Linked DNA regions of Cricetulus griseus. The protein of the gene in region 1 interacts with the protein of each later gene in a pairwise test. Links are inferred from orthologs where the notes say so. Each region holds a gene or a part of one and is shown on either strand. Other genes may lie near its edges. The genes, in order: Swsap1 and Zswim7.

What was found.
Region 2: the proteins of Swsap1 (region 1) and Zswim7 interact in binary tests that used the Homo sapiens proteins (3 or more experiments, as listed by UniProt). The link is inferred for Cricetulus griseus from reciprocal best matches to the Homo sapiens genes SWSAP1 and ZSWIM7.

Annotation. Positions count from the first base shown.
Region 1 is NC_048597.1:134,851,566-134,855,112, forward strand, and holds Swsap1 (ATPase SWSAP1), read left to right. Parts: upstream 1-1,269; 5' UTR 1,270-1,295; coding exon 1,296-1,538; intron 1,539-2,203; coding exon 2,204-2,806; 3' UTR 2,807-3,035; downstream 3,036-3,547. UniProt on the Homo sapiens protein: ATPase which is preferentially stimulated by single-stranded DNA and is involved in homologous recombination repair (HRR). Has a DNA-binding activity which is independent of its ATPase activity.
Region 2 is NC_048600.1:76,290,906-76,294,823, reverse strand, and holds the end of Zswim7 (zinc finger SWIM domain-containing protein 7), read left to right. Parts: intron 1-826; coding exon 827-931; intron 932-2,221; coding exon of another isoform or gene 2,222-2,241; coding exon 2,242-2,358; 3' UTR 2,359-3,357; downstream 3,358-3,918. UniProt on the Homo sapiens protein: Involved in early stages of the homologous recombination repair (HRR) pathway of double-stranded DNA breaks arising during DNA replication or induced by DNA-damaging agents. Required for meiotic progression, hence for fertility.

The DNA.
Region 1 (3,547 bases):
CAGACACATTATCAGTATCATGGTGGGGCTGTGATGAGCTTTTGGGGGTGGAGACAGGAGGATCCCCAGAAGCTCTGGGGCCAGCCAGACTGATCTACACAGCAGTGAACATGCACTGCCTCCAATGAGATGGAAGACAAGGACTGACCTCCACACACCTGGGGTGGCACAGTCCTGCCTGCACACACATAAAGATTTTTTAAAATTAAAACAGAAATCAGGGTCAGTGAGATGCCTGAGGGTTCTTGCCACCAATCCTGAAGATCTTTCATCCTGGGAACCCACACAGTAGGAGAGAAAGAACCGCATCCCATCTCTGAACACATGCACACCGTGTCATGGGAGTACATACACATACACCAACATCCCTCATTGAGGGCTAGGGATGAGGCAGTGTGGTGAGTGCTTGCTTAACACGTACAAACCCTGGGTTTGATCCCCAGCCCTGCATTAACTTGGCATGGTAGCATAAGACATCTTCAGAGTTCCAGGAAATGTAAAATGATTGGCACCCTATCAAAAGAAAAAATCTGAGTCCCAAATCTGTAGCCCATATAAACATATTCCCATATCCAAGCAAGGAGAGACAAGCGAACAGCTGTCCCTTTCCATCTGTGAACTGTCCTTCGGCGATATTAGCGGATATTCACACCAACACACTGCAATGACCCCAAGGGATCACAACACTCGTTTTGCTGGTGGGCAAGCTGAGGTTAGGAGTCTGGTTTTTATTATTTATTTTAAGACAGGAGCTCATGTAGCCCAGGCTGGCCGAAAACTTCAATATGTAGCTAAGGGTGACCTACAGTTTTTTGTTTGCTTGTTTGTTTGTTAAGATTTATTTTTACGCAGGGTGTGTGTGTGTGTGTGTGTGTGTGTGTGTGTGTGTGTGTGTGTGTGTGTGTGTACGCGCACGCGGGTATGTATGTGTGTCTCGTGCCCGCGGAGGCCAGAAGAAGGCGTCGGATCTCTAGGAACTGGCGTTAAGGACGCTTGCAAATCACCCTGTAGGAAGTGGGAACCGAACCCAGGTCTTTTGGAAGAGCAGCTGGTGCCCTTCACGGCTAGGCGTCTCTGGGGAGCGCGTTTGCACCCTCGACCTTTCTTTTAATCTGATCACGCGGCTTCCGGCAGCAGATTCCCTCACGCACCACTTTGCTCCATGTCCCGTGTTTTGACCATTTACGACAGCTCCAGAGACCGAAAGTGACGCTGCGAACTATAGCCAATGAAACATCGGTGTGGGCGGGCCCGGGAGGAGGACGCATCCCTGATTGGTCAGCGGTACTCGGCAAATGGCGGAGGCGCTGAGGCGGGTGCTGAATGAAGGCCGCGCGGCAGGGCCCGGGGAGGAGGGAGCTCCGGGTCCGCCATTGCTGCTGCTAGGCGCTCCGCGCTCCGCGCAGACTTCGCTGCTGTTTGCGGCCGCCCTCGAGGCGGCAGGGGAAGGCCGCGGGCCTGTCCTCTTCATGACACGAAGGCCGCTTCAGAGCCTGCCGCTCAATACACCCGCAGCGCGGAACCCCTGGCGGCTCCAGGTAACCGGAGGGCCGGATCTGGAACGTGTCGCCCAATGGCAAGAGAGGTGGTGCATGAGTGACAGGTCGGCAGGCCAATGGCGCGTCAGAAGGCCTACGGGGACGAAGTGGGTGGAGGAGGCGGGTAGCCGCACGGGGCGGGGCAGTGCGGGTTTAGTTAAGAGTGAATGAAAGGCCGTCCTATGATCGCTCGGCATTAGCGGGCGTGGGCGCCAAGGAGGTGGAGTCTAAAGTGGAGTTAGTTTCCCTTGGAAGCACGCGTTCTCTCTCCCAACAACAATAAAATAGAGCTCTCAGCTAGCATGCATGAAGCCCTGGGTTTCGTTCCTCTAACCCGGCATGGCAATGCACGCCTGTGATTCAGTTCTCAAGAGGTGGTTTCAGAAGGGTCAGGCCATCCGGCTACATCACGAGTTTTCAGTCATCCTGGCTTACATGAGACCCTGTGTCAAAGAAAAAAAAAGAATCTTAACTAAAATGATTTTGGGCAGTGATACAAGCTGGAAAAGGACAGGTGACAAAGAAGGACAAAGAATATCTGAGCTGGTGCTTCATCCTCGAAATTTATATATGGGGCTCGACTGGGAAAATATGGAAGAGTCATGGCAGCCATAGTAGGGAGCCTTGGCCTCCTATGTTAAATCTTGCCTTTTCCTGTCTTCTAGAAGGTTCGATTCCAGTACCCATCCTCAGTTCCAGAGCTTCTCCAGCTTCTGGCCTCTGCCCATGAGACCCCAGGGCCTGCCCCGTCCCTTCTACTGCTAGATGGCCTGGAAGAATATCTAGCTGAAGACTCAGGGGTCCAGGAAGCCGCCTACTTAGCTGCATTGCTTCTGGATACTGCTGCCTACTTTAGCCACCGTCTTGGAGCCAATGGCAGCTGTGGGCTTGTGGTGGCCCTAGAGACCCAAAAAGAAGAAGACAATGATGCCCCACATCTGACATTGCTTCAACGGTATTTTCCTGCACTGTGCTGGCTGCAGCCAGATGCCCTAGACTTGGGACAGCACCATTGCCTGCGGGCCAGCCTGGAGTTGGGCAAGCTGAGCCCCAGGACGGAGTGGTCAGTGACCTTCTTACCTAGTGGAGAGATGAAGATCATCCCATGGCCTACCCAGGCTTCTAAGCCCAGCCCAGATAAAAAGTGTTCAAGTGCTGAAAGCCAGTCATTAACTCTGGAATGTGGCAACCTCTCTGACCCTCAGTTTCCCTTGGATAGAATACTTCCTTCAGGGACAGGTTCGGAATCAAAGACCTGGAAAATGTAGCATTGCTGAGCTGGGCTTGCAAGATGGCTCAGTAGATAAGGGGCCTTTCCAATAAGCATGATTACCTGGCTTTGATTCCCAGCATCCATAAGGTAGAAAGCTAGAACTGACTCCTGCAAGTTGTCTTCCGGCCTCCACATTTGGGTAGAAGCACACACATGCCCTCCACACAAATAGTAATAATAATAAATAGAACCTTTAAAATAAATAAATAAATATAATCATCTGAGGTTTCCTAGTTCATTTCTTCTTACTTATTGTGTTCTTTTCCCACAGGATCACGTGTAGCTCAGGCTAGCCTCAGACCAAATACTTAGCTGAGGCTATTCTTGAACTCCTGACCCTCCAGGCTCATCCCTTGTGGGCAGGGCATATGGAGTGTGCTTCCACACTTGGCTTCTTCTGTGTACTCTATGGTGCCTGCATATGAGTTACCTCTGTGTCTTGGCTTACATTACTGTTAGGGAGTCTAATCACATACACATACATGACCTTGCACATGTGTTTAGGGTATACGGTTGGAAGTAGAATCACTCTGTACAGAGTATGCACAGATTTAGCTTTTTTAGGACATAACATTTTTCAAGCCATTAAACTGAGTTTGAGCGTGGTGTTTTGCAAAATGGTAAGCCCAGCTTTGGGATGTAGAGATAGGAAGTCACAATGCAAGGTTATCCTTGGCTACTTAAGGTGTTGGAAGCCACTCTGTCCTACACTAGACCCTGTCAGAAAAAAAAAAAA
Region 2 (3,918 bases), on another chromosome or scaffold:
ATTTCCCATATGCACCAGGAGATAGCAACCAAGCTTTTAACACCTGTGCCCTTGGGGGACATTCAGAATCCAAACTATAGCAAGCTGCCAACAGGAAACATTTGGCTACTTCGAGGTGGAGCGCTTTCTCCAACAAACTGGCCCAATCACACCACAGACAAATCTTATTTTCCTTTTACGTTTCCTTTGTGTTCGTTTTGACTGTCACCAAGAGTGTTTGTTGTACTAGGCCTTTCACCAACACCCACATGTCTGTGTCCTTCTTCCATCCTGCTGGATGAGTAGGCAGATCTGAACTTGCCTCCTTTCCTGGGACCTCCATCCTGAGCAGCTGAGTCATCCCTTTCACAAGACTCCACTTTATTTATTCTCCCCACCCAAATGCTTCTTTCACCCCTTTCTGCTCTCTTCATCCGAGAGCTGCCTGTTCCTGCCTCCCCATGCACTCTTTACCCATTTTCACTCTGTGGGAATGTAACAGTAGCTTTAGAAATGTCTTCAAATGCTAATACCACAGATGAAGGGCCCCACAGTAAAATGCACACAAGTTTTTCTCTTCACTTCTTGTTACCCCCTACAGGCTAAGACCTGTGTATCACATGGGAACAAGAGGCTGTGTGGAAGGCTGGGTTAGATTAAAACTCTTCCACTGTTGAAAGTCCTAGAAAGCTGCAGAGATAAAGTTTGTACACTGAAGGAAGAAAACTTGCGTTTCCTCTTTTGTATCAACTCCACTGCAGTTCTTCACAATGATGTCTGTCCATCAGCAACTCTTATGTGTTGAGCAAACCTTCTGAGTTTCTAACAATGTCCATCCTTCTCCCAGGTGCTTGGGAGTTCTGGCAAAACATACACATGTATGACTTCCTGTCATTACTGCTCATGCCCAGCATTTGCCTTCTCAGTGTTACGGAAGAGTGACAGTCTGCTGGTAAGAATGGGCTCTTGCCACTGCACACAAGTTGGGAAAGAGCTAGACTCATATCAGACTTTAAGTGCCACATACATTTTTGGGGTGGGGGAGGGTTTACATAGAATTGTTATTTCCCTGAATGTTGAAGACATTGTGGTTCACTGTCCTTGTCTTAGTCACCTCTTGGGATTTAATCTCCAAAAATGCAATGTCATTTTTGGTACTTCACCAGTTTCCTGGTTTTTTGGGGGGTTTTGTTCTGTTTTATTTAAAAGGTTGTAGAGGAGGTTGTGGGGACAGTAATGTAATCTTGGAAATGTGTACTGGGGAAGTAGATGGCCCAGTAAAGAGAGAACTACATAAAAGATGCTCACTCATCATCCCACTGCTTGTGGCTTGACCTCACATTCACCCTCATATGGACCAGGAACACCTCCATCTATACCTCTAAGTCTTTGTGAGCCTATCAGAGTAAGGACAGCACATGTCTGCACACTGCTTGCTCCAAAGGGAAAGAAACGTCTACCCTCCTCTCCTCAGAGAAGGTGATTAGTTCTTAGTCTTGTCAGAGAAGAATAAAGTCCACCTCATTCCTTTCCTTTATTTTTTAAAGATATTTTATAATGATTATTTTAATTTTGTTTGCATTGGTGTTTTGCCTGCATGTATGTCTGTGTCAGATCTTGGACAGTTGTGAGCTGTTATGTGGGTGTTCCGAATTGAACCCGGGTCCTCTGGAAGAGCAGTCAGTACTTTTAACCACTGAGCCATCTCTCAAGCTCCTCTCCCCCTTTTTGTATACTATTAGCAGTTTAAACATCTTCAGAGTTTGGTGCCAAATTGAGTATCTCTGTTAATTCATATACACACCCTACTAGCCATTAGTGTGGTATATTTCACTTATAAAAGTGACAGGATTGAACCATGGTCCTCTCAGGATTCAATGTTGTGTTCTGTGACATTGGTCTAACAGAGTCATCTCCCCACATTTGTGTATATGTGAGAATTTTCCCGATGCTCTTTTCCCACCCCAGAAGATAGCAATGGTTAAAGTGGAGTAGAGGCTCTGCATGCTCATTATAATGAAGTTTGAACCTGCTGGATAGCTATTAGATTTGCATGAGCTCATTTGTGAGGAACACAGAGCAGTATAGTGCCTCAAGGACTGTCAACCATTGCTGTAACCACACTCTGAAGGCGAGGATAGAACCAACTGAAAGCAGGGCAAAGTTTCGATCTCCTCCTTGCATGTGATAGTGAGGGGTCTTGATTAGACTGGCCAAACATGATCTTTCTTGTTCCTAACAGGTTTGTGTTTTGTATTCCAGTGTAAGCATCTCCTGGCAATTTATCTTAGTCAGGTTATGAGAAACTGCCAGCAGCTCAGTGTGTCAGACAAGCAACTGACAGACCTATTATTGATGGAGAAGACACAAGAAGCATAAAAGGTGCAGGTGGAACAGCTTTCAAGACAGAAGCCTACCAGGAAATATGTTCAACATCTCATGGTTCACAGGATGGAGGGACAAGATACACTTCCGGACTTGTTACTGTCACTTTGCCTTCATAGGCTGCAGGGTGGGCTTTGGATTGGCACTGTAGGCTGCAGAGAGTTGTGTGGTTAAGAGCCCCACATGATCTTAACATGAACCAGCCTCTGAGCCCCACAGATAGAAACATCCCTGGGTACAATTCAATATTGTTGACTCAAATAAAGCCCAATACCATGTGTCTGCAACTAGATCAGGTTACTAAAGTACTAGTAACTTTGTAAAGGTGGGATGGTAGACCAAACTGAGTAAGAGCAAGCTTAAATGAGAAAATTATTCCTTAGTAAAGGACTAGAGCAGACATGTAGCTAAATGGCAACAAGTATGAGAAGATGAGGGGCCTTCTGCTAAGCTCATCTGTGTGCTGGTGTCAGGGCAGCTGATGGGGATGCACTGAGAGAAATGATGTGGAAAAAAGGGAGAGCTGGGTCTGCTGTGAGCATTTCTAGGCTTTTATAGCAGGATAAAGATACACTAAAGCCCTGGAAGGGAACTAGATCCTACGAGGAATTTCACATGAAAAAGAAAAGACAAACTAGGTGCCAGGAGTGGTGTGGGAAAGAAGAGACAAGATAGACCCAGAGAGAGCAAAGGAACAACGAGAAAATAACTATGAAAAGATGAGATAGACCCAGAGAACAAAGGAGCAATGAGAAAATAACTGTGAAGAGGAACCAGCCTAGGAAAAGGACGCAAGAGGTAAAGTTATGACAGCCAGAAGACCCTAGAAGGTCGGGAATTCCCTGAGTCTCTAAGCACTCATACTTTTAGGAACTCAAGAAGTAGATGAAATAGGTGACTTCATAGCCTAGGGACCCCCCTGCCACATTGTTGTGCCCCATACTCAAACTGTTATTGAACAGCCTCTGTATAAAAAGCCAAATACATATTGCAGCTCTCTGGTTGGATGAGCATTATGTTGAGTTGTAGCAAAGAAAAACCAAGATTCCTTTGCTAGTTGAGAGACTTGGACTGGGTATGAGCTTCCTCTTTAAGCAGCCTTCAGGGTTAGGTGCAGGTAGTGCCTTAAGTACAGCAAGCCAGGGCAGTGCCGTGAATGTGCTTTTGACAAAGGTTTATTTCACTGAATAGAATACACAATTAGGTATTTTTGCCTAGTAAAATTTTCACACTGTGGGTTCCAATAAATTTTAACTTTGGAGAGAAGCAAACCCAGTACTTAGGTCTAAGAAGCAGGATTCCAGTCAAGGAGGGACCCCATTTCTTCAGTTTTTACCACTAGTATTTTGTGTACATGGAAAATATTGATCTTAAATTGTTTTTTTTAATTATAATTCTACTTCAAAACTTAGAATATCACTTCCCAAATTAACACAACAGTATCTTGATTGAAGAATTATACTTTAGTTTTTTGGATTGCTGCCCTAGGAACAAGTATACATTAGTATAGCCAACTTTTATTTTTCCATTGTTGTAAGTGAAAAATACTTTTAT